Linked DNA regions of Coturnix japonica. The protein of the gene in region 1 purifies or fractionates together with the protein of each later gene. This does not show direct contact. Links are inferred from orthologs where the notes say so. Each region holds a gene or a part of one and is shown in the gene's direction. Other genes may lie near its edges. The genes, in order: AXIN1, AMER1 and HIPK2.

Region 1 (8,224 bases):
GAGCTCTTAACAAAAGCAGCAGTTCTGTGTTAGAGGGACAGAGATGGAGAAGTGGCAGCATCTCCGTGTGTGAGATGTTCAGAACAGCAGGGCCAGGCCCTGGGTAACCTGTTCCAGCATCTGTGGGCTGTGAGACCAGGCTGGGCCCAGCAGTGAGCCCTGCAGCCCTCCATCACAGAGCAGCTTCCTGCTCCTGCTGCCTCCTGGCTGCAGGGCTCAAGGCAGGGGATGGCTGCCTCCACCTGCGGCTGCTGTGTGGAGGACATGGCTGGGGCAGGAGGGCTGTGGGGCAGTGCAGGCTCTCTGAGGTCCATCCATGAGGGCTTTTGCTTCAGCGTGCTCTGCCATTCTACATGCATCTCCATCACTCACCTTCCCTAGGCAGCTGTTGCCATGGCAATGCTTTACGTGCTGCTGTTTCAGTCCAGCTAGAGCACAGGAGATGCCTTTGGGGAGATGGGAGCTCGTGCTCAGCCTGCAGGGCACCCTCAGGTGTCCCATCACTGTGGGCCCTGCAGGACCCATCGCCCTGGGGCTGGTGGTCCAAGGCAGAGGCAGCAGGGTGATGGGAAGCACCGGGAAGATGCAGCTCCTGCACTGTGGGCTCTTCCAAAGCCAAATCTGAGCTGTTGGATACAACCCCTGAGAGCACACAAAAGCACAGATGGGCAGGTAGAGCATCTGCCTCCCATCTTTAATACATCACATTGTGAGGCACAAGCAGTGCACCAGGCACTGGGGCTGAGCACGGCTGTGCTCCTGGCCCTGCCCTCACCACCTCCATATTATATTATATTATTCCATATTTGCTTTGTGCTTTGTTTCCTGAAGCAGCTCTACGTGATGGGGAGAAGCAGTGGGTCCCCGTGGGGATGTTCAGGGGGCTGGAAGGTGCCTCCTGTGGCAGCAGTGCTGGCAGTGTGGCATGGGGAGCTGCAGCGGGCACAGCAGGGCTGGTGTTGGCTATGGGCAGGCAGAGCTCTGGCTGCTCTAAGACAGGAGTTACTATGGGAACCGACAGAGGATGCTCAGAGGGTGCAGAGGGCAGAGATGCTGGTATGGCTTCGTGGTATTGGTACCTGCAGCCACGCACAGCATCAAGCCTTCAGTTGATGCCCATGCTTTGCTCAAAGCCACCTGTGGCCATGCAGTGAGCTGGCACCGAGCTGGGGCTGCAGCAGTGGGATCTGTGTGCGGCTCATTGCTCTGCTTGGTTCTCGGCTCTGCTGGGGCTGAGCTGCACGCTGAACCGGGGCCAGCAGCATCCTGCGTGCAGCTGGACGGAGTGTTTGTGTAAGCAGAGCCTGCCCGGCTGTACCAACAGCCGCCTGTTTGTCCATGTGTGGGTGGTGAGAGCCCTGACGTCAATGGCTGCCTTTCATCTCCCCCGCATGGCCAGGCTCCCCTTGAGCAGCAGGACGGCGTGCCCGACTCACCGGCACCGGCTGAGCTGTGCAGCAGCGCCTGCCCCACACAGCAGACAGGGCTGGGAGCATTGAAGGCATGGCTGCTCTCCTTGCTGCTCTGAGCCCATGCAGCAATGGTACAGGGACAGGTCTGAAACCTGGGGGGGTCCACAGCTACAAACAGGCTCCCCATCCGACCATGTGCATTTCCTTTTTGATTCTCAGTCAGATGATTCTCTCTTCTTCCCTGCATCCCATACACAGACGTCATTCCATGTGCCTACAAGGGCTGGGGGACACAGGGAAGAGGAAGGGAGCGGTGTTTTGCCCAGTTCTGCAGTGCCAGACCATCCCTACAGACCAGCATGTCCCCACAGCTGCAATCCCAATGCACTCCACACAGGGTGCCATGAGGTGCAGTTGCTCTCCATGCAGCTCCCCTTGTTGTGGGGCTGTTCAGAGAAGAGGAGAGGGAGGGAGACCTTACAGGGGAGACCTTACAGCTCTCCACACCCGAAAAGAGGCTGCAATGAGGTGGGAGTTGGGCTCTGCTTCTGGGTAACACTGATAGGATGAGAGGTGTTGGCCTCAAGCTGCGCCTGGGCACTTCAGCTTGAGTGTTAGGAAACGTTCCTTCTCCCATCCTCCCCATTGCTTCCCCAACTGGACAGAGCCATGTGAAGGTTGGCTGTGCTTTGGAGGAGCCCCAACACTGAGGAGCACAAGGATGATGATGATGAGGGCTGCACCGTGGTGCTGGTTAACCCTACATGGAGTCATTGTGCAGCTGGTGGGGAGCAGCTGGCCCGGGGGAGGCAGCGCTGTCTGCAACAGTGTTCAAAGAGTTTTGCTTAAGTGTTGCCGCTCTTCAGGGCTTCCTCCAAAAAATAAAAAAATAAATATATGTCTATATGTAAAAAGGGAGAGAAAAAGAAGATAAATCTTTCCATGCTGGATGAAAGCGGCCTGTCTTGACTATTTACCCAGCAATTATAAGTAAATCGGTGGTGCCTAAAGGGGCTGGTTGCCATAGTTACAATAGGATTGGAAGGACCATCATTTGGTCCTGGCCGCAGCCAATCAGGCTGAGAAGCCAAAGCTGCAATATAAAGTAAAGATTCCCATCTTCCAGCCACACAGTTGCCAAGAAAGGGAAATAGGTTCAAGAGTGTTGGAAAGTGCTCCGGACAGCAAGCAGGGCGGCTGCTCCCGTCATGGCGGACTGCGAAAACCCAGCCGGCGCGCGACGCAGCGGGGCAGGCAGGTGAGAAATCCCAACGCTCCCCATCTCCCCGCTCATTGTTCTCCTTCACCACGGCCCCCGCCGCCCCACCCCATCCGCGGCCACCACCGACCCCCTCACCCAGCCCCAAAACCCACAATGAAACCCCCCTTCGGGCGAGAGACAAAGAGATCCGTGCGGAAAAACGCTCCACCATTCTCCCCAAATTGTGATCGTAGGCCTTTCAAATCAAATTTCGCAAAGCAGCTTCATCAAAGGCCCCCAGCTGGGAGACACAAGCCCCATATTCCTGCCGCCCACACGGCCCCCCCAGGCCTTGGATGGTGCGACAATCGCACACAAAGTCAGCGCGGCTCGAGAAGTGTGTGTGCAAGAAAAGGGGGGAAGAAAAGAGAAAAAAGCGAGAGCGAGAAAGAGCGGTGCCTAAATTGATCATAGTCTCCAAATCTCATTACTCGAGACTTCTGAGGACGGATATTTCCAAAGGCTGCTATTAAAGACTTGTAAATGGAGCCCCTTTATGAGATCAAAGCCCAAGGGCCGGGCGCGGGGCGTGCGGTGGCTGTTGTGGCGGTGGCGGAGGGGCGAGCGGAGCCGCAGGATGCTGGGGGAGCCTTCCTCCCCTGCTGCTTCTGCCCTCCATGTTTCCAGTGTCGCTGCTGCTGCTGCGTGACCCATCTTGCAATGGATACTGCAAACGTGATGTCGGGCAGAGCCGAACACCGCCCCAGCTCCCGGAGATGGGCGAACTCCACCACCCGCAGCACCGGGGATGGAGAGAGAGTTCCCAAAGTCAAGCAGGTCCCTTCCAAAATGTCATAGTAATAAATGAGCTTATTCCAGTCGGGACCTCTCGGGACACCTTGGACTACAGATCATCTCACGGCGTGGGGCGCTGGCTCCATGGGGCCGTCCTGGCCTCGGGTCTTCTCCGTTGGGTCTCTTTTTCCTCCCCAAGTCGCGGCACCTCGCTGCCTTGCTGACCATGGGCAGAAGGGCCGAGGACAAAGGGAGGTGGACAGAAGTTGTACGACTTTCTCTTCCCACCGCCTCCCTTCAGATAAGATTTCTGTTGTCGGTGACACATTCAGCTCCGGGCAGCATTCCCAGCACCGGCACCACCAGCAGGCAGGCGCCCCATCATATTCATGGAAAGCAAACTCACAGATGGTAAAATAACAGAGTCGTGTAGGTTTCAAAGAGTCCTTCTATGTCAATTGTTATATTATTAGGTAAACTCTAAGAAGAAAATCTTTTAATCCACTGTGGCTAATCCAGTCCACTTTTGTTGGCCAGGACATATTCAGCATCAACAAAAGGCTCTGGCCGACGAACACCGGCATACATAATGTATTTATAACTCTGGGAGCTGGCTGGGCTGCTCCCAGAAAGAGACACTCCTCGGGCCCTCAGCAGGGGCCAGAGCAGAGGATTTGCCCGACTTTTATCAGTTTTATTTTCATTTCAAAGAACCCGACCGATATTTTCACTGTGTTGCTTACCAGGCGAGGCACGAAGAGGGCAGGGACGTTCCTGGCTCCAGCCAGTCCCTCAGCCCGGACCTGCTGGGATCTGCACCCTTCATCTCCCTCTGTGTCCTGGGCAGCACAGGGATGGCTGGGCTTGAGGAAATGCATCCATGCACCAGGCAGGGAGCATGGGGCCCTGAGGTGCCTGGAGTGCCGGGATGGAGGCGGATGGGACAGGGAGCAGCACCGTGCCTTCTGGGAGGATGGAGAGCTCCAGTGACACAGGCAGGTCTGTATATCCCGTATTTCACACCCAGCTCCTCTTCCATGTGCTGGAGACAGGGAGAGCTGCAGCAGTGCTCCAGGACAGGCTGTGGGGTGCTGTCCCCATGGGGATGGGCTGTGGGAGCAAAGGGGCCACCAGGAGGTGTTGGCTGGGCACTGCTAAGGTGGCTGCCCCCAGAACGGCAATCCTGGCGCCCTGGGATCTACATGGACTTTGCTTGGAAGGCATCATCACTCTGGGAATGGAGGGATCACCTTCCTGCAGGACAGGGGATATCAGTAATGCCATAGAACTGCTGCACCAAGCATGGGAAGGCTGGGAGGTGTGCAGGGCTGCCAGGAAGGGAGCTGGAGTGAGGCACAGGGACAGACTGTGTCCTCACACGATGGGGAAGCTGCTGCCATATGAAGATGCAAAGCCCAAGGTCTGCAAAGTTTGGTGTTGTGTATCCACCACCACGTTTCCTCGTGCTTCAGACAATTGTAACTGTAAGAATCAGGATGAAACATAACCTGAGGCCTGATTCACTCACATTTGTCTGCCCCGGGCTCTGCTGTCTCCTACAGCCCTGCCGGAGTCCAGCACAGGGGCCTTCTCCATCAACTTCTCCATCAACTCTTGTGCCCCATAATATGTCCCATGCAAACCAGAACTCACTCTGCCCTGCCTGAAAGGTGTGAAGCGGTGAGGAAAACCACTTTGAATGAGAAACAAGGGGCAGCCACCCACTGAAACATGGTCAGCACACGTTGCTTAGTGAAAACTCTTTGCTGGTTCACTCAGAACAACAGGAGTGCTGACCCTCCAGGGTGGGTGAGCCAGGAGCATGGGACAAGTACTTGTGCTCCAGGCTGAGCTGCTGATGGGCATCGTATCAAAGCATTCCGGTTGTAGGCTGTAGGACAGACATCAAGGCGTTGCCGAGTGCTGAGCTTGCTTTTGCCAGCTGGGCCAGTGACCACATCTAAGCCTAAGATCCTTCATAACATTGCGAAACAGATCCACAAGAGTGGAGCAACCGATATTTCCAGCAGCGCTCTTGACATCAGCTTTTCCTTACACCGCCAACCAACTGATCGGGATCATTGATGGATGGATAAAAGAGATGCACCTCTCGTGTCGGGATCAAACACCTTGAATGGGCATGGGCTGCTCTAGGGCAACCCTGACAGCAGGGCTCAGCTGTCCCAGTGCAGCATCACTGAGCTGTCAGCTCAGCCCTGTGCTCCTGCCTGAAGGTGGTGGCTGATACACACTCACCTTGTCCCATCCTGTTGTGGAGGCAGACAGCAGCCACAGCCCAGGAGCAGCAGCCACAAAGGGACAGCAAGCAAGGATCCCAGGATCCCAACCTCCTGGCCAGCCCTGGGGCATTCCTGTGTCCCTCACAGGGGACAAGCTGACATTTTTTCTCTCTGCAGAGCAGCAATGCTGGGACACACGGAGGCTGCATCCCATCCACGGCCACCCGAGAGGAGCACAGAGCATGGAGCAGCAGGCCTGGGGACACAGACCCGAGATGGATCCCACAGGTGGGTGTGGGAAGGTGTGACAGAATGGGATGTCACCTGGGGGTGCCCCCCTTTGCTGGCCACAGCAGCTTCTAATACGTACCATGTCCTGCTTTACATGGACAAGGTGGTCAAACCTGAGCAAAAACTGGGAGATCTGGGGACAGAAAGATGGGAAGAAAGCCCAGGAGTTACTACTCGAGGCAGTTAGTCCAGGGATGCATCGAGAAAAGCTCATCCAAACCAATGGGTGTTACTGCAGCCAAAGGCAAAGGAACCAGAGGTAGGAAAGCTGTTATTAGCCATTACTATTACTAGTTATTACTCTCACTACAGAGGTGTAGAAGCAAGCAGGAGAGAGCTGCCAGTGAGCTGCTGTGCTCTCCCTGGTCAGATAGGAGATTTTCTGGATTCCTGGTCCTCTGTGCAGCTTATTTAGCCAAAATTAGGGACTGTGGACTCGTGTGGTCTTTATAAAATAACAATAATAATAAGAAAGCAGTATCTGAGCAAAAAGGCTGGTGATAGGGGGAGAGTAACCCCAGGGCAGCATAGGGGTGGCCCAAACATTCACCCAGTGTGCATCACAAGGAGCCAGAGCTCAGCCCTGCCTGTGAGGAGGTGGCTGCTGCATAGAGTCCTGAACCCCATTTGGTCAGTGGTTTGTCTCCAGTTCTGTAACTGGGAGCCAAACTGGGCTGGAACAAGCGTTTTTCTGCCTCATCCCTTTTGCCCAGCACTGGAGGCAAATTCAAGCTGAGGAATTTGGGTGTGTTCATCTCTCCCAGGGCAGTGAATTGAAACAAGGTGGGATGCACAGGCACCCAGCAGAACCTGCACTGCGAGCCACGGGGTGAGAACCAGAGAGCAGCTCCTGCTGCACTGCAGATGCCTTTGGGGAACTTCAACTGTTAGTGATGGGCTCATAGCCCACATCTACCCTGACACAGCTGCATGGGGTATCCTCACTGTGCCAATGGGCAGGACTTCCAGCCCCCATCCCAGCTGTACACAGGCCCACTCCTCACCCTTTGCTCTCACATCAGCTGTGTCTGTGGCTCTGGGTGTTCTCCACATCACAGCAGTCAGCTGAGGTCTTTGGTGTGCCTGGCCCCAGTTCTGAGGTGACCCAGCTCCCTTTAGTGCCATGATACTGATATTTCTTTCTTGACAGCCAGCATGTCTTCCCCCTCCTGCTCTGTAGGTGTCATTTTGCCAGTGGTCCAGGAGCTAAAAATGTCCTCTCCCATCCATTTCTTGCATCCTTTAATCCTGTTTCTTAGCAGCCCTCTTTTCCAATGTTTATGCAGCCAAACCATCTCTTACCTCTTAAATGAATGGGCATGCATACAGGATGAGGTAAGCAGAGGAGAGCTGCTCCTCACCTCCAATAGGGATCATTTAAGATCTCTGTGTCCCGGTCTCTCAGGCTTTCCAGTCACCCAAGAGGCCCACAGGGCTTTCAGCTCAATCCTCAATGATCTCTGCTGGGAGCCCATGGTTCCCCCAACCCTTCTTATCAGGCAGCCCTGACCACCACACTCCACAGGCACCCACAACACAACCAAACAGGATCTGTGTCCCATATTTTTTTTTTATAAAACCTAAATTTGGGATCAGCTTTGACCTGCTTTGAGCCTTTTAAATTACAGCCAAAGGTTGAACAGCACCATCTAGTGCACTCTGTCCCAACAGTGCCTGAACTGGAGGGACACCGACCCTCACACTTGCACCAACCGTGGCAGGGCTCTGCCATTAGAAGTGTGCATGGCCTTTACCCTTTCAGACACAGGGGAAGCAAAGGAAGTCCTGGATGATCCCACAGTCTGATTCCTCCCAAGGGACACTTGATTTTCGCTCATTTGATATCCACAAATGAATCCAAAGTTGGTAATGTTGGCCATAGGCGAAACGTAGGGACTAGGCTCCTTCATGTGGGCGAAGCAATGTGTGAAAAGCAGCGAGGTGACTCCAGAGGGAGCCCATGGCTCTCACTATTCTGAGAAACAGGAAATGAAAGAGGGAGAGCTTGGCATGAGCCCGGAGGGTATTCACCATACAGCTCGCAGAGAGGTGGCTGCCTGGCTACTCCTTACCTGCCTTGTCGGCAACCTGAGGATCTGATCCTGCTGTGGATGCAATGAACAGCTGGGGGCAGAGATTTCCCTCTTGAATTTCTCAGAAAAGCAACATCCTGATGGGCTGCGCAGCCCTTCCCTCAGCAGGATTTCCATGCAATGAACCCTCTGCACAATGCCAGCACAGCCAGCCAGCTCCATGGAGCCAGGAGATAAGGAAAGAAACCAGAT
Region 2 (8,224 bases), on another chromosome or scaffold:
CATTTCTTCTCAATTTCATTCACAGTTTTGACTTCAGGAGAAGGGACCTTTTTGAAGTAACGGCATGTACTAAGTGAATTTGGAGAGAGGGAAACTACAAGTAAGCTGAAAGTTTAAAGCTTATTATTATTAAACATTTTCTTGCTTTTCACACTTTCCATAGTGCAGCTCCAAACTCACCAGAGTGTCTTGGAGAGGACATGGAAAATATTTTCCCGAGTGCCCTGGTTTTAGTTCTTACAGTAGTGGAGATTTCTCTGCTGGGTACTTTGGTTTCTTTCTTATCTAGTACTGCTGATAGTGCTGCTTCAAACCATCAGACCGCTCCTGCTCCGCTGCTGAGAAGTTTGGAAAAGGTTGAGGGGGAACTGGATAAAATAAGATTACACTCACCAGCTGACAGCTTTTGATAAGACAGCCTGCATGCCCCTTCCCCCTTGTTTTGTTTGCCCCCACAGAGTTTTCTGCATTTCTATGCACTTATACTGCATAATTTTATAGAACCAAATGAGTGACTTGTTTTTGCAGATGTGGATGAGAGGAGGGGAGCTTGGTCATCTTATTGCTCTGAAAGTGGAAAACACACTCAGGTGTGGTGTGAGGAGGAGAATGTGTTCTGTGGAAGCCAGTGCTACAGTGGGCTGTCCTGGGTCACAGCAGGGACTCAAAACGGAGTCGTTCCCTGCAATTTCAGCAAGAAAACAGTGAAGTAAATTAAGTTTGTGCCTTGTTAGAGCGAATACCCCTCGTCAAGCAACCTGCACCTGTCTGAATCTCCCCCCCTTGCTGCCCCTCTCTATATTTACCCAGTGGGAACTTTCCAAGAATGGAAGTGGGAAGATAAATGCCTGTGGGGGCTAAATTTAGCCCAGGCTCCCTGGCCCTGCTCCCTGTGGTGGCATTTCAGCTGTGAGCTTTGACAGCCTGCGCCCTTCCAGCTCCACAGAGTGGATGTCCATCCCTGATAGAGTGAGAGCTTCTCTTTCTCTTCCCCCTCCCCTTTTTTTTAATTAAACCAAGAAAGAATTCTCCATGGGACCACGTCTGCTTTGATTGTCTTGGGTGTGAGCATCACTTCTCCCACAGAGGTAAGGCAATAGTGTAACAGTGCATGGGCAGCTTGGGGTAATTGGAGGTAATTTGATAGCCAGAACTTTAACAGTGTGAGTATGAACTCTGTTCTTTTTGTCTCTTTTAGCACTAGCCGTAGCCTCTTTTCTGGGTCCACAGGTGATGAATGATTTCCTTTAGCTCAGGACAGCTCTGGTTTTGTCCCTTTGGATCTGGACTAATAACCCTAATGCCCCAGGTCTTCAAACTCCCCCTCCCCACACACTATTAGAGGCGTTGATTGGGTGATTCAAAGTCCCAGTGCTTGGTATTAGTGTGTCTAACCAATAACAGCAATGTATATTTCTACTTATTTCTACAGAAATGGATTGGCTTGATTTAACAGGTGGAAGTACAACAGAGCTTTGCTTTCATCAGCTGCCGTCCAACTTGCTCTACTTAACCCAAAAATAGAGCTGCTGAGGTGACTTGGCACTGGGGAGCTCTCGGCGCTCACAGCTCTTCTTTATCCAAGGCTGATGTGGGACACATCTCCTGTGGCTTTTCCTTGCTACCAGCAGATGCGCATTTGCAGAACAGGGCTAATTGCTCAGCGCAGCTCTGCTGTATCAAGGTGGGGGAGATGGAGCCTCTCCTGTGGGAAACCTCAGCTACTGCAGGGCTGAGATGCTACCAGAAATTCTCCTGTCCTTGGCAGGCAGCGTTTCCATTGCATCCTTCTGTGCTGGTGCCACCCTGCCATAGGGCCAGGCCTTGCAAATCCCCAGGCTTTGGCCCTGGCTTGGGTGTAGCACTCTCAGGTGCCCCCCTCCATTTTCCTTGCATGGCTGATGGAAAATCCTCGGTCCTTCTACTTTGAAATTCAATCCCTTTAAAGCTCAACTGGGTGTAAAAAAAAAAATTGAGTGCTTGTTTGTGTGTGTGCTCTTGAGCAAAATCCAGTAAAGCTGTCACCTCCTGGATCATCTCAGTATTCCATAGATATCAGGATATTCAGAAATGCAGGTGAAACTGTTTGCAGTGCTGCTCAATATGAAGCAGAATAAATTCTATTGTTCCACGTGGTCTTTCTTCCAGCACTTATGGGGCACAGCTGGATGGGGAGGTTTCTGAGGGAAAATGGGCAGTTTTATTTACCAGCCGGTAAATCTGCTTCTCACCTTTGTTGTTGTCCCATAGACAGCAGGTTTTACTGCTTACAATGAAAGTGGTGCTCAGAAGACAGACCAAAAAAATGAGCTTAATGGACATCAATAAGATTTTCTCCATGCTCCAACCCAGAGAAGATGAAGATCATGGAGAAAGTGAGGAGCTGAACCAAGTGGTGTCCGTGGACGATTACCAAACTCTTGACAAGCTCTTGCACCAAGACAGGTACAAGAGAGTCATCAATAGCAGGAGTGGCTGGGGCGTTCCCAGCACCCCACTGCGCCTGGCTGCCTCTAAGGGCCACCTCAGGAGCCTGAAGGTCCTCCTGTCTCATGGGGCAGAGGTGGACAGCCTGGATGTGAAGGCACAAACCCCGCTTTTCACAGCAGTCAGCAATGGCCACTTGGGCTGTGTGAAAGCACTGCTGGAGGCAGGAGCCGGTCCCTCTGGCAGCATCTACAACAACTGCTCACCGCTGCTGACCGCAGCTAGGGATGGGAACGTTGAGATTCTGCAGCAGCTCCTGGAACACGGTGCTGAGACCAATGTCCAAGCAAGGGTGCCTGAGTGGGCTGCCAACTCCACTGCTTGCTCCGGTCCGCTTTACCTCGCAGCTGTCTATGGGCACTTGGAATGCTTCAGGTTGCTGCTGCTCTATGGTGCCGATCCCAACTACAACTGCACGGATGAGAGGATGATCGCGCGCATCAAGGAGCCCAAGACTCTGCTGGAGATCTGCCTGAGGCACAGCTGCCGGCGTGAGTTCATCAAGCTGCTTCTTGACTTCGGAGCCAATGTGTATTTGCCAAACATCAAGAAGATAGCACCTGGTAGCGAGGGCCTAGATCTGCTGTTGCAGGCAAGAGGTAACCTGTGTGTGTGTGTGGCCCCAGGGCTTATTTGGGGGCGAGTTGCTTCAGATCACCCTTCACTTTATCTTTGTTTCCCCTTAGAGAGGGGAGAGATCAGCCTAAGCAAGGTTTTCTTGCAAGCTTTGACCCTCTTTGCAGCTTTGGTTGAGAGAATGAGTCTCTCTGGTGTTAAAGTCTTGAATATTATCATTCTTTTACTCTGAACACTTGGTTTAGGTGCATCAGTTCTCCCTTTGACACCACGCAAGCTGGAGGAGAAGCAGGGTTGCGCATCCTGAAGGTCTGCAGTGACGGTCATGTTTTTCATTCCTTTTCTTTCCACAGCTCATCCCAAATCCCTGATGTCTCAGTCTAGGCTGGTGCTGAGGCACATCCTGAAGCAGGCTGGCTGTGCACACGCCCTCAGAGAGCTGGACATTCCACCAGTGCTGGTGAGCTACCTCCAACATCAGCCTTAGCAGGGACACACCATGGAAGACGCCTACCCCAGAGAGATGCCCAGTGCCTGAATTAAAAGCTCTGACGCTGCTGTTGCACAGCACAAAACAGATGTGAATTTGTGGTATAAACAGGGTTTTTTTGGGCTTTTTATTTGCTTCCAGAGTGTCTCTGAAACCTGTATGGAAAGATTATTGTTAGTGTGGATTTCCACAGCAGGTGAGCTGTGTCTGTGGGGCTGGGGAGATGGGGGACACCACTCCCATGCAGATAATGAGTGTCATAATGGGTGCTCTGCTCATCCGGAATAAAATTGAATATTTGAATGGGCGAAAAACGTAATTTTCCACAGTAATCACACCAAACAAGTACCAGCTGGTGGCCCTTGTGCCAGCTGCACATCTTTATTAATTACCGGACCTTTTGTGAGCAGGAGCGGGGCTGGAGCCTGCGGTGCTACGAGCAGATCATCAGCTGCTCCATCCGCTCGCTCTGCCTTTCGGAGCCGTCTCCTTATGGTTCTGGTCCGCGGCTGGTCCTAAGGCCGGGCTCTGTGGGGGTAGCGGCCTTTCTCCCCGCCCCCGCCGTGTCACAGAGTCCGCCCGCCCCGTCACGGCCCGGCCCCGCCGCCACACCCGGCTCGGCCCCGCCGCTCTGCTTGGCGCCGCCCCGTCCGTCCCGGCGGCGGGCAGGGCCGTACAGCACCGTGCCGTACAGCACCGCGCCGTGCCTCCGCCGAGCCCCGACCGCGGCCCAGCGCGTCGGTAAGTGCGGCCGGAGCGCGGCGGGGCGGCCTTTGTGGCGGCGGGCAGGCCGCAGAGCCCGGGGCCTGGCTGCAGCCCGGCGTGGTGGTGGTGGGACGCGGAGCTGCTCGGGCCGGGACCGTCCCGGGTGCGTGGGGCGGCGTGTCCGTGGGACGGGGACTGAGGTGGGGCTGTGCCGGGGGCCGCGTCTGAGAGCGGGGCTGGAGCGGGCCGTGCTGCTGCTGGGCTCGGCGAGCCCCCCGTGCTCCCGTCCTCGCCTTTCCTCTGACTGTTTCCACACACGGGCACAACAGGCCCGGCTTCGTGCCCCTGTATTTCCATCTTTCCGTCCTCCTGCAGAGCCGAGCGCGCTGAAAGGCTCCCAGAGGTGGCAGCACAGCGAGGAATGGTTGGGGTTCTCTGCTCATAGGGATGGATGGCCCCATGGGTTTTCTGAGGTCCTCAGGCAGGCTGTGGATAAGGGCTTAGCAGCGGGGTGTGTTGTGTTGTCAGATGTGGACCTGCGTTCTTGGCTGTCTTTCTCCTCATCCAGCATGTCCCAGTGGATGCAGTGCTGGTGCCCTGTCTTATAAGAACCAGGTATCTGCAAGCCGCAGATAGAAAACTGACCTGTCACGTGGCGTTTTGTAAGACTGAAATAATTGCATTTTAAGGCCGGTTTGTGTTGGAGCTGCTGAGCAGTGCTGCTGTTAACGACAAACCCCTGACGCCAAAGGCCTTCCAACCAAAATCGGGTGGCTTTGCGTTTGTCTTGGGCGCGTCTCTTTCCCTTGTGTTTGTCATCATCTTTCTCTCCAGGCTTCTGTCCTTCACATCCAGAAGCTGAACGCTGTGTGCCATGAGGTGATGGAGAACAGCAGGGACAGAAGCATGTGCAGATCCAAGCACCCAGACAGCTGGGCTGGAGCTGGGAGAGAGACTCAGGAATGCCTCCGTGGGAGGGCTCTGCCTTCTAATTCAATAGCAGCCTTAATGGAGGCGTTGTGAGCTCCTCAGGCGGAGCTGTTAAACTTACACTCGTCTTGTTAAAGCATTCACTTGCGTGTTTTTTTTTCATGTGGTTACTACTGGCAGTTGTGGCGGCTGTGATCTCGGTGGAGGCTGTGTGAGGGGAAGGCACTGCGCTCCCAGCTCATCCCGAGCTCTGCACCTCTATTGCTGTGGTAGTGTGGGTCGGCTTTGGGCAAGCTCAAGTCCTGCAGCAAGGTGAGGTCGTAGTGAGCTGAGGGGGCTGCTGCTTTGGTAGCTGCCCATCTTTCTCCTTAAAAACAAGGCCCTGTCGCACACATAAGTTCATTGTGTCCACCTAAGCTGTAACATTTGGCCCACCATAGGACCCAGCCTGTCACAAGAAAGTGTGTAAATACAGCACGCTAATTACACCCTGCTGGGGGTAAGGGTCAGCACGTCCTGCTGTGGATGTGGTCACACCAGGAGGAATGGCTGGGGACACAGCGCTGGCTCCAGGCACTAAGATACGTGCCCATGTGGTGCTGTAATTATTGCAGCGAAAAACAACTGAAGAAAATCACAGCTCTGAGTTTTACAACTATAAACTATAAAGCTGCTAAATCAGGCCTCGGGATTGAAACTTTGAAGTGCTGGGGTTGTCTTTGTTTCTGAGACAGAATGACATTAATACGTGGCTTCCCAACAAAACGGTTTCTGTCGCACGCTGTTTGTACTGGAACAAAAATCGTTAGCACAACAGTTTATTTGAGGATAGAAGCAGCACGTTTTAGCAGTTCCCTGCCTGTCGGTATTGACAGCTGCAATAACATCCCTCTGTAAACTGAGGAATTAATGGCATGAATATGCAGGAGTGTCCTGGAAAAGGCTGCTGCTTGTTTGTAGGCAAAGCTTGGAGAAATGAGATGGAGCGAAGTTTCCACGGGTGGCTCAGAGCATGTTGTATAGGGAGAGTTTGGAGGGTTCGCTCGGCCTAGGGAATAAGAACTGCACATAAGGATGAGGATGCAGTGGGTTGGAAGCTGTAGAAGGAAAAAGCAGCAAGTAACATGTAAGATAAAGGATGTGTAAAATGGCCGCGGATAAAACTACATTGGAAAATGGAAGATGGTTTTGATTCTCGGGGCTTTTGGCTTCTGGGGCAGGCTCAGAGTGGGATCAGTGGGGAAGCATTGCACAGCTTGTACCTGTCCCACTGCAGAGTCACAGCGAGTTCCCTGCACCTCAGCTGAGACCCTTCTGAGGATGGTGGAAGGATCTCTTTTGTCTGTATGTGAGTTCAGAATGTGGTGAGATGCTGCTTGAACACTCCATGTTACGTGAAGATGTGGGGAGCAGACATGCATCCTGCCATGCTGCTGCGCTGTGTTCTCCCACCCACTGCTCTGACTGGTATCAGATGCCTCCTGCTGCACAGGGCTTCATGTGCATCTCTGTGCCTTTGTCTCCATCGCTCTGCACCATTGTATGGGCAGTGAGACAGATGGGGCTTGTTCCCATTCAGAGCTGGGACCCGGCCGGTGTGACCTGCTGTTAGTGAGGCGTGCAGCCATTCTGGGTGTCCTGTGGGACGCAGCCCTTGTGACACTGCAGCCAGCTTTGCTCTGCACATCTTTGCATTTGCAGCATGGGGTAACCGTGCCGTGTTCCCCAGAGAGAAGGGAGAAAGAACGTGGTGTCATGGCCTGCTGGAGGTGCTTCCCAGATTGCTGCTGGGGAAAGTGGTGTAAAGATGAGAGCAACCTGTGAGTTAGAGAGAGGGGATGCTTCATCTGCCACCAGCCCTCCAAGCAGCGTTTGGGCAGTTATCCTGGATTAGAGAAATCCGTGCTCTTGCTGTGACTGCTTCTGCATCCTAATCCTGGTGACAAGACAGAAGCTCCCCTGTGAGTTGGGTAAGTCCCTTAATTTAATGCCCGGTCTCCCATTTGTAACATCGGGATGATACGCCTGGTTCCTTGATGAGAATTAATTGATCGTAGCTTGTCTTTGCTGATGCCTGTGAGAATTAATTGATCGCGCTCGAGTGTCCGCCTCCCATTCTGACAGCTGTACTGCCCGTGTGCTCCCACCCGTCCACGTGTGAGCTGCAGGAGAGGGTATCGTTTTGTTGCACAAGGGTTCAGTGCTTCTTGCTTCTCTATTCTGATGTGGAGGAAGAGAAAGCAGCATCTGGCTGAACGCTGCCTAATGTTGTGGTGTTTCTTTGCAGTCAGACATTTTCATGGCAGTCGTCAGGGTCTGAGAGGATTTGTGCAGAGCCCAGCTGTGCAGCTCCTCTGTAGAGCAGGGAATGGGTGTGTGCTGTGGGGCTGTCCCCACTGTGGATGAGGGTAGCGATGTGCCGTGCTCTGCATTAGGGGTCAGGGGGGGATTCTGGGAGGCTCTGGCCCTGCTGAAAGTCATACAGGCAGGGAAGAGTTGGGTGAGTCCATCGATGGCTGTCGGTCACTCACACCAGCTAATCTCTGGTGCAGCACAAAGAAGGGATTTAGCAGCCTGCTTACCGTAGGCAGTGTCAGTCTGCATAAAGGAGAAAGGCTTGATGAGCTGCCTAAGGCCTGTGGTCGGTTTAGGGGATAAAACAGGGACGTTTTCCCAAGTCTTTTAGGTGCAGGCTGTGAGATTCTCATCCTCCACCTCATTTCTGTTTTTGTTGAATGCTGAGGTAGTTATGACTTGTCATGGATGCTCTTAAGAGTCTTGAGATCCCAACTGAGGACAAAGCAGGCCTCTACTTTAGCTGCTGCTGGGGAGGATGGAAGTTGCCCCTAGTATAGAAGCATAGCATCCCAGTAGAGCAGCATGTTGGCTGAGGTGCTTTGTCCTGATTGTACACTAACAGAGCCCCAAGCTCTGGCCCAGGTCAACCTGTTGGCACCGGCTGCAGTTTCGGACATGCCCTTCTTCTACCTGTAGCTAGAGCAGAAAGCTGCATCACCCCAAGTATAACCAGATCTA
Region 3 (8,124 bases), on another chromosome or scaffold:
TAACGAGTGTCTTACACCTCTGTATCCCAGAGTAAAGACTGTCAGACAACCTGGTTGATGACCAACCTTAGCCACTTCTCTTTCTCTTAACTTTGTATGCTGTAAAAATTTTGTAAAACTAACAGGGCATCTTTAAGAAGTGGTCTCTAAATAAACCTTGTTTCAGCTGATGCAACTTCTGTGCTGCATTTTTCCAATCCTCTCTGTACATCTGTCTCTAGGCACTTGTTAGATGTTCTGCAGGATTATCAAAGCTCTTTTGAACTGGAGCAGTTTATTTAGTTAGACCTCTTCCTCACAGTTAAAATGCATCACAAGGATTTGACTTCAGAAATGCTGTGCTGGAATATGTAACTTAACATCTTCTGCTTGAGAAATCTCTAGAAGAGAGGAGGCTGTGCCATGGCTAAGGTGATGGAGTGGGAGCCTTTCTCCAGAACAGTTAGGCTAATGCTTGGCTAAGTCAGCAACAGTTGGAGTGTGAGGTGTGCTAGATGAAACACAGTAAAATCGGAGCCTTTAAAATATGACTCCTGGGAAACTGTGATAGAGAAAATCACCCATCCCAGTCAAGATTGAGTTAGTGCACAGTTCCACTTGTCCCACATTGATAGCAAGAGAGCATTCTCACATAGCAGTGTCTCTTGTGTGGCAAGGACCATTTTCTATTAGCAGCCCAGAGGACGTCTGGTAAGAGAAGCCATTTCCTGCTCACTCTTTCTTTGCTCCCTGTACGCGTTGTACTGAGATGTTTCCCCTGGATTCGAGATAACTTAAAAATATGAAATCATTTAATTCCTTAACACCTTTCAAATGTCTCTCCTGTACCCTCATGATAATATTGTGCTTATCAGCATCTGATGGACGTCTATGGGCTAGGGTGGAATATGTGGGTCTCCTAGAACTTAGTTTTTCAGAAGAACTAAACACTGTAATTTAAATGGATATCAGTGAATGCCTTTAGACTTCTCTTAAAATCAGACCCCCATCCCTAGCAATGCTGTGTATGACCAATGCTGTATCTTCTGTGCTTATGAAACAGGGTTACAAGCTTCCCCTTCGAAGCATGCTGGGTATTCAGTTCGGATGGAGAATGCTGTTCCCATTGTCACTCAGGCTCCTGGGGCTCAGCCTCTTCAGATCCAGCCAGGACTCCTCGCACAGGTAATGAGCTCTGAAGACACCAAACACAGAGCAGGTTATTTTGTGTGCTATTTAGCACTTGGAAGCTGGAGAGTGTAGCTTTCTCTGAGGGCCTTCTGTGCTGTAGTTTGGAGAAATGGGCAGCCATAAAAAGTCACCAGCTTTATCTGAAATGCTCATACCTTACCCAGTTCATTGTCCTGTTACGTCAGAGTTGCAAAAGACTCTGGAAAGACTATCTATTCTTCTCCATTGAGACCAGTGGAGATCTCAAGGGAAGCTGTGTCAGGACTCTGCTGAGGAGGAATTGGTAGGAACCTTCCTGGATTCTCCTGAACTTGCAGTCTCAGCAGCAGTTTGTTGCAGTTGTGCTGGTGAATTGCATGCTGCTGAAAAACATCCCCTATGTTTTTAATTTTGCAGCTTTTTATGAATTGTATCTGTGTTCTTAAGTCTTGGGAGTGATGTAGTTGGCAGAGGCAAGGATCTGACAACCAAGGAGCTCACACTGTCAGCAGTACCTATTGGCACAGTTGGCCAAAGTACTCTCACAGAAAAGGCATGGTTCTTCCCAGCAAGAACAAATGGGAATGAGAACTACTTATCACAGAATTGTAGGGGTTGGAAGGGACCTCTAGAGATCATCAAGTCGAACCCCCCTGCCAAAGCAGGCTCCCTACACCATGTCACACAGGTAGGCGTCCAGACGGGTCTTGAATATCTCCAGAGAAGGAGACTCCACCACCTCCCTGGGCAGCCTGTTCCAGTGCTCCGTCACCCTCACTGTCTGTTGGTGCAATTACTCTTCTTCAGCAGCAACCACACTTATCTGATGAAGACAAATCAAAGCACAACTTGCAGCCTCAGTGATTTCAATTAGCTAACAAGACGTACTCATTCCCAATATTAGAGTCCCTTTTACTGGGCTGTCTGACATGAGCCTGCTCAAACACTGAATATATCCCAGTTGAAGCCTGTGGTAACAGCCTGTGTGGGCCATCTCTCTTGTCTGGTGGAAAAGGAGGGCCTAAGAGGTGACAGGAAGAGGAATAATCACAAAGTGAATGCTTCTCTGCAGGTGAAATTGCAGGTACCTGTTGCAGTGTTGGTGTACAGGGATGAGGGTCTTATCTGAACCATGCTGAAGCCGATAGGATCTTAAAAGACCTTGGGTCCTGCAGTTCCTCTTTTCTTCTCAAGGTGGCCTCTCTCAGGTCACCACTTTGTGGCAGTGAGTGCTCTGAAGAAGCTTTGATCCATATGGCTGTCCTGTCCCATTTACAAGAACTCTGGTTTCATGGACTGCCCTCAGCTATTTTCTATTGACATTTTTTGCACTGCTACTTTGATATGGCTTATTTGAGCTGTTTCTGAAAAATACTCCTCACTTACATAGATTTTATTTTTGATTTAATAGAAGAGAGGCAGTCTCTGTCAGCTGATATATCTGTCTGTCTCACATGATGAGAAACATTAGCTTCTGCTCCGACAGGGAGGCTCTCTGATAGACACTGGTGGCATCTGGTGTCCGCTGGCCTTGCTCGGTTCGAGCTGAGCAGCTGGTCTCATAAACAAATCTGTACCCAATTCCAGTTTCCTGAATGGAAAAACACAGCTCCTTTGTAATGCATTGTAGTCACATCTGATCTTTGGATGACCGTGTGTCTCTCTGAGCTGTGAGCTGTTCCTCTCATGCACAGCTGGTTATCAAACGCCGTTCAGGCCAGACTGTCCGAACTCCAACTGCTAGAGGGGCTGTCCCCAGCAAAGAGCCTGCTGCCTCCTGAGCAAGTTTGTCCAAATACTGTATGCACACAGGCTGTTGAAAATGGGCTGATCCCATCTTTACAAGTATCTCTGTACAACTTCAGATTTCAAAAGGGACAAAGCCATACAGTCCTCTGTCAGACTTATGTGACGTGACCCAGAACCGTTCTCTGTCCTTGGATAGTGCCCTGAATGCTTGAATTTCTCACATTTTAACTCCATCCCAGCAATATTTCTTCCCATAGAAGTCCTGCTTCCAGCTTTCAGAGCAAACACGTTTATTCCATTAGTTGTTCTTGTTTACACCACAGGTGGGAATTTAGTTGCACCAGGGGCTGCACCACCTCCAGGGAGCAGAGGCCAGCACCGCACTCTGACACAACAGCACAATTTCAAAGTAATGCAATAACTGAGAACAGATTGAGGCTGCAGGCACGAGCCTCCCATGTGTAAGCACAGCATGCTGTGCTGGTGGATCAGCCTAGACAAGTCTTATCTGCAGATTAAATGATTCAGTGGTCCTTACCTAATAAGTGAGGAATTTATGCCTGGACCCTGACACTGAATCTAAATTTATGCTCTGCAGGAGGAAAAGGAGTTTGCATTTGTTCAGTTCTCCTCCTTAAAAAAGGGAGGAAATCAGTTTTCTCTGCAAGTAAATCCTGGTAGCCCCTTGGGAACGAGCACAACAGTAGTTGAGTCTCATCTTTTAATTCAAAGCTGGTTAAAAATAAATAAATAAATAATGAAATTTCCTACCTGATCTTTTACCTTTTCACTACCTTCTCCTAACTACTCTGACCTGCACCAGACCACGGCTGCAGCTGCTTAAATGAAAAGCTCTCAAGACCCCTGTGACAATCTGTCTTTTGCAGATGTTGCTAAGAGGCCTCATAAGAGCAGCCTTTTCATCTGGCATGACACAATTAAGATGATTAAAATTTGGAGCAGAACTAGGAAAAGTTTCATCTTTATACTGAGGGTGGCAGAGGGTGATTGGGGTACAGGTTACAGGATGTTTGTGGGGATGGAGATGGGGGTGAACGTATGCCTGGATGAAGTCTCCCTTCTTTAAAATGTAGCCTCCACAGGGCTGTGAGATTACATAACATGGGCCTATGGAGGGTTGCGTTCCCCATCCTAAGCAGTACACAACAAAGTTTCCCTCTAAAGGAATCACAGTGTGACCAAGCCAAAAAATGATTTGATTCATGTGGAGTCGGTGGAGTGGGACGACCTGAGGGATGACGGCATAGCAGAGCGATGACTCGATTTACAGGGCAGAGATCTCCACCCTGCAAGGGGGGCACTTGCTGAGAAAAAGCCAGAGAGCGTATGAAGGGAACAGACATGCGATGTGCAGCTATGTACAGCTCCCCTCTACTTTGACCAAGGCTCATGGGTAGCTGGACTAGGCAGCAAGATGTCCCTGCTGTGTAGAACCCCCAGACTCCTTCCCCTCTTTGTGAAAGCCTTCAGCCTCTTGTTCTTTGTCCTGATCCCTGAAATTCTTTCTCCTTTTAAGCTGCTTTACGTTCCTGAAGTCCTTTAGGGTCTGTTGAGGTCAGAAGGAAAATTGGCTGGAGGCAGGGAGAAGTCCCATTTAATAAGACCGTAACTCCCAGTTGATCTGAATAGTCAAAATTAAAAAGTGCTAATCTGTTGGAACTTCCGATTGAAATGCAGGCCAGTTTCAGTCTCTCCCATTCCAAGTTTAACCTGACACACAGCTGCTGCTTTGGAAGTCTTTTGTGCTCTCTATATTGATAACTTTACTGCTTCCTAAAAGTATTCACAATCTATGACTGAAAGGCACCAAGCACTAGGTAAGATGACCACAGTTATTACAAGGAGCCCCAGCTGGGTGGGGGTGATTGTTTATATGCCGTTTATGATGACTCTTATTAAGAAACACTTTTTCCTCTGGCCAACAGCAAGCATGGCCCAGTGGCACACAGCAGATCCTGCTCCCTCCTGCCTGGCAGCAGCTGACTGGGGTGGCCACCCACACTTCTGTCCAGCACGCGACCGTCATCCCTGAGTCCATGGCAGGCACCCAGCCACTGGCAGACTGGAGGTAAATCGCTGGCACATGGAGAATGTGTGTACATGCCCATGGGACAGCCAGCACATGTGTGATGATGGCCTTTGGGCTGGGGCAGTGGCCACCATCCCCCAAGCCCAGCACCATGCCCACTTCCTTGGGGGGAAAACAGTCTTTCCTGGGGATAAACTGTGGCACCGAAGAGCCCCAAGAATAGAACCTCAGTGCAGGTGATGGGGTGAAAGCCTGCTGGGGAGCCGCCGGTCGTATTTTAAACATGTCCCTGTCTTCTCCCCTTTGCAGAAACACCCACGCTCACGGCAGCCATTACAATCCCATCATGCAGCAGCCCGCGCTGTTAGCCAGCCATGTGACTCTCCCCGCAGCCCAGCCCGTCAATGTGGGTGTTGCTCACGTCATGCGCCAGCCGCCCGCCACCACCACCTCCACCAGGAAGAGTAAGCAGCACCAGTCGGCGCCTCGGTGAGTGAGCCCGGCCCCACCGCTGGCCTTGGTGGGCCCGAAATGCAGGCGTGCTGATAGGAGTCAGGTATCCAGAAGCCTATGGGGCAAAATAAAGCTTGTTCCACTGCCCGTGAGTTTTTGTGAGTGGACTGTCTGCTGCTTCATTAAGGGGCAGTCGGGTGTGTTTTATAGCCAGCAAACACCATGTGGCATGGTGGGGATGCAGGACAGGAGGCTCAGGCCTTGCTCATACAGGTCGTTATGCTGCTGTGGGGCAGTGCACCTTCAGGAGCAGGTTCCTGATGTCTGCATGTAAGATCCATCCCTTTAGAAGCAGATAAATGATAATCACAAAATCGTAGGATGTGGGAGGGAGCTCTGGAGTTAATTTTGGATATCTCCAGAGAAGAAGATTCCACAGCCTCTCTGGGCAGCCTGTTCCAAATCTAAGTTAGATACACTGAAGGGCACTGAGGTGGCTGTGGGCCACCTTTAAGCTCTCTGTCTTCTAACACAGCAGCTAGAGGAGCAACAGATACCCGCATCGATCTTTTCCTAATCAGGGCAGCATCAAGCAGGGAGCATTTGGTAAAGGCACTTCACGCAGGAACGTTCCTTAGATGCTGGGATCTATTAAATCTAGGTAGGAGCATTTGGTTCTGCAAGAGGAAAGTTGAGCATTCCTTCATGGTGTTTGGTGCAGCTGAAATGGTGGGATGACTGCGGTGCCTGTCACAGCCCTGCAGTCCTTCTTACAGGACGGGGCTGCTGAAGACGTATGTGCAACTGTCCTGGGGAAAGTGCTCTGGACTGTGAGAATGGCTCCTCTACTGAGATACATTTCATTTTCAGAAAAGAAAAAAAAAAAGAAAAAGAAAAAAAAAAAAAAAAAAAAAAAAAAAAAAAAAAAAAAAAAAAAAAAAAAAAAAAAGAAAAAACGAGCCATAAGTGCAGAGAAGAGAACTAAAATGGGTCACTACAGTGGCAAAAACAGAGGAGCTTGTGGTTTTCCTGGGTGACTGGACTCAGGCCAGAGGAGCTCGGAGTTCACAACCAATTTTCCTTCTAGTTAAGAGGCCGCTATTTAAATCCTTCCCATTTATCTGCTCTCTAATGTTGCATTTACTTTGGGTGAGCTCCAGCTGTCTTAGTCCATTCGTAATGTAGAGCAGAGGCAGCTCTGTCCCCAGCAAGCCTGTAAAAGAGAGCGCCTGTTGCAACAAGCATGTCTGCGCAGGGCCTCCCCTCTCCCACCCCTCTGCAGGAGCAGGGTGCCCATGTTGGGGAGGAATTGGACACTTGCAGAGCAACGGCTTTCTAGGGCTGTACATTGTCTTTAATTGTGATGATTTTGTAGCCAAATGAGGAACGTGCTCCTTTGGAAAGAAGGGTACTCCATTCCGCTCATTGGTATTCAGAAAGCACTGCAAATGCTACCGTGCAGTCATTTGTTATGCAAAAGACCCTGTGTAAGTTGGTATAGCGTGATATGTCCATAATGACTTCCTTTTGACAGATGCCACCTATTCTTTTTGTTAGCTTTTAGGCCACACTGCAAATGCAACCCACATCTCACTGTAGAACAAAGCGAGAACTTTGTGTTGCATCTGCGAATGCTCTGCAATAAGCAGAATAAACTATAACATTTTAAAAAATATAAGAAAATAACGAGGTGGGTTTTGGTCAGTAAATACATCTGCAGACCTGTGCCGTGCTGTTTTCTGTGCTGAGATCTCCAATCCATAGAGCTGTTTACAACTTTCAGACAGGGAAGCTGAAGTAGGAAGATGGGGGAAAATCGAGGGCTTGAGCATTATTTTCAATGCATAACAAAAAGATTGTTCTTTTTCTTCCTGACCGATGGGTGCTGTATCTGCATCCTCACATGGGAATGACTTGAAACTGAGTGTGTGCTTTCCCATCTGGGTATTCTGACACTCTCATCCTCATCTGGAGGATGAAGCATTGGGCAGGAAATGTTAACTGAAAACATTCTTAAATGGCAAATTAGATTTTCAAGTAAGTAAAGCGGTTTTCCTGATAAGTGATCGCTGTTTTCCACAATAAATTCTAATTTTACCTTAAGCTTTTTTCTGGACAGAAAAAAAAACAAAAGCACAGATTGGTCATGATGCATACATACAGTTCACCAGGTATGGGAGAAAGGGATTATCCTTTGGGTTCTTTCTCCTTGTGTGACAGCCATGCAGTGCCGGCCTGTGTTTTGTATGTCTGGGCTTTGTGACCAGCCTCTATTCCCAGCCTAAACTGTAGGCAGGGACTCCTGGGAGGCAGTATTTCTCATCTGGAAATGTATGTGGAAAACAAAATTGAGGGGTGTTTTACTTAAAAGAAGTACTTTTCAGCCAATTATAAGAATAAGCCATGTGAGGCACTCTGACCTTTGGAAAGGTGATGGTGCTGATTTTGCAGTTTTCCCAGACTCCATAAGTCAGCGTGAGAGAATGAGAGGCTGGGAGTCAAAAGCCACAGCAACTGAGCAAGCTGAGATTTAACCAACTAACAGCCTTTCCCATTTCCAGAAATGCATCCACCTACGAAGTTTCGTCCTCTCAGTCCATCAGCTCGCCTCAGCGGTCGAAACGAGTGAAAGAAAACACGCCTCCTCGCTGTGCCATGGTGCACAACAGCCCTGCCTGCAGCACTGCCGTCACCTGCGGCTGGGGTGACGTGGCCACCAGCAC

Evidence for each region.
Region 2: the proteins of AXIN1 (region 1) and AMER1 purify together in Homo sapiens (affinity purification with mass spectrometry; 4 studies listed by BioGRID and IntAct, with this or other methods). This does not show direct contact. The link is inferred for Coturnix japonica from reciprocal best matches to the Homo sapiens genes AXIN1 and AMER1.
Region 3: the proteins of AXIN1 (region 1) and HIPK2 purify together in Homo sapiens (affinity purification with western blotting; 3 studies listed by BioGRID). This does not show direct contact. The link is inferred for Coturnix japonica from reciprocal best matches to the Homo sapiens genes AXIN1 and HIPK2.

Annotation. Positions count from the first base shown.
Region 1 is NC_029529.1:10,741,690-10,749,913, forward strand, and holds the start of AXIN1 (axin-1), read left to right. Parts: upstream 1-2,557; 5' UTR 2,558-2,670; intron 2,671-5,825; 5' UTR 5,826-5,936; intron 5,937-8,224. UniProt on the Homo sapiens protein: Component of the beta-catenin destruction complex required for regulating CTNNB1 levels through phosphorylation and ubiquitination, and modulating Wnt-signaling.
Region 2 is NC_029519.1:11,109,781-11,118,004, forward strand, and holds the start of AMER1 (APC membrane recruitment protein 1), read left to right. Parts: upstream 1-4,137; 5' UTR 4,138-4,294; intron 4,295-4,347; exon of another isoform or gene 4,348-4,421; intron 4,422-5,368; 5' UTR 5,369-5,500; intron 5,501-7,135; exon of another isoform or gene 7,136-7,158; intron 7,159-8,224. Other genes in the region: ASB12 (ankyrin repeat and SOCS box protein 12), read left to right, coding at 2,273-3,086, 3,417-3,550. UniProt on the Homo sapiens protein: Regulator of the canonical Wnt signaling pathway.
Region 3 is NC_029516.1:56,134,664-56,142,787, reverse strand, and holds part of HIPK2 (homeodomain-interacting protein kinase 2), read left to right. Parts: intron 1-1,042; coding exon 1,043-1,164; intron 1,165-4,844; coding exon 4,845-4,987; intron 4,988-5,257; coding exon 5,258-5,437; intron 5,438-7,962; coding exon 7,963-8,124.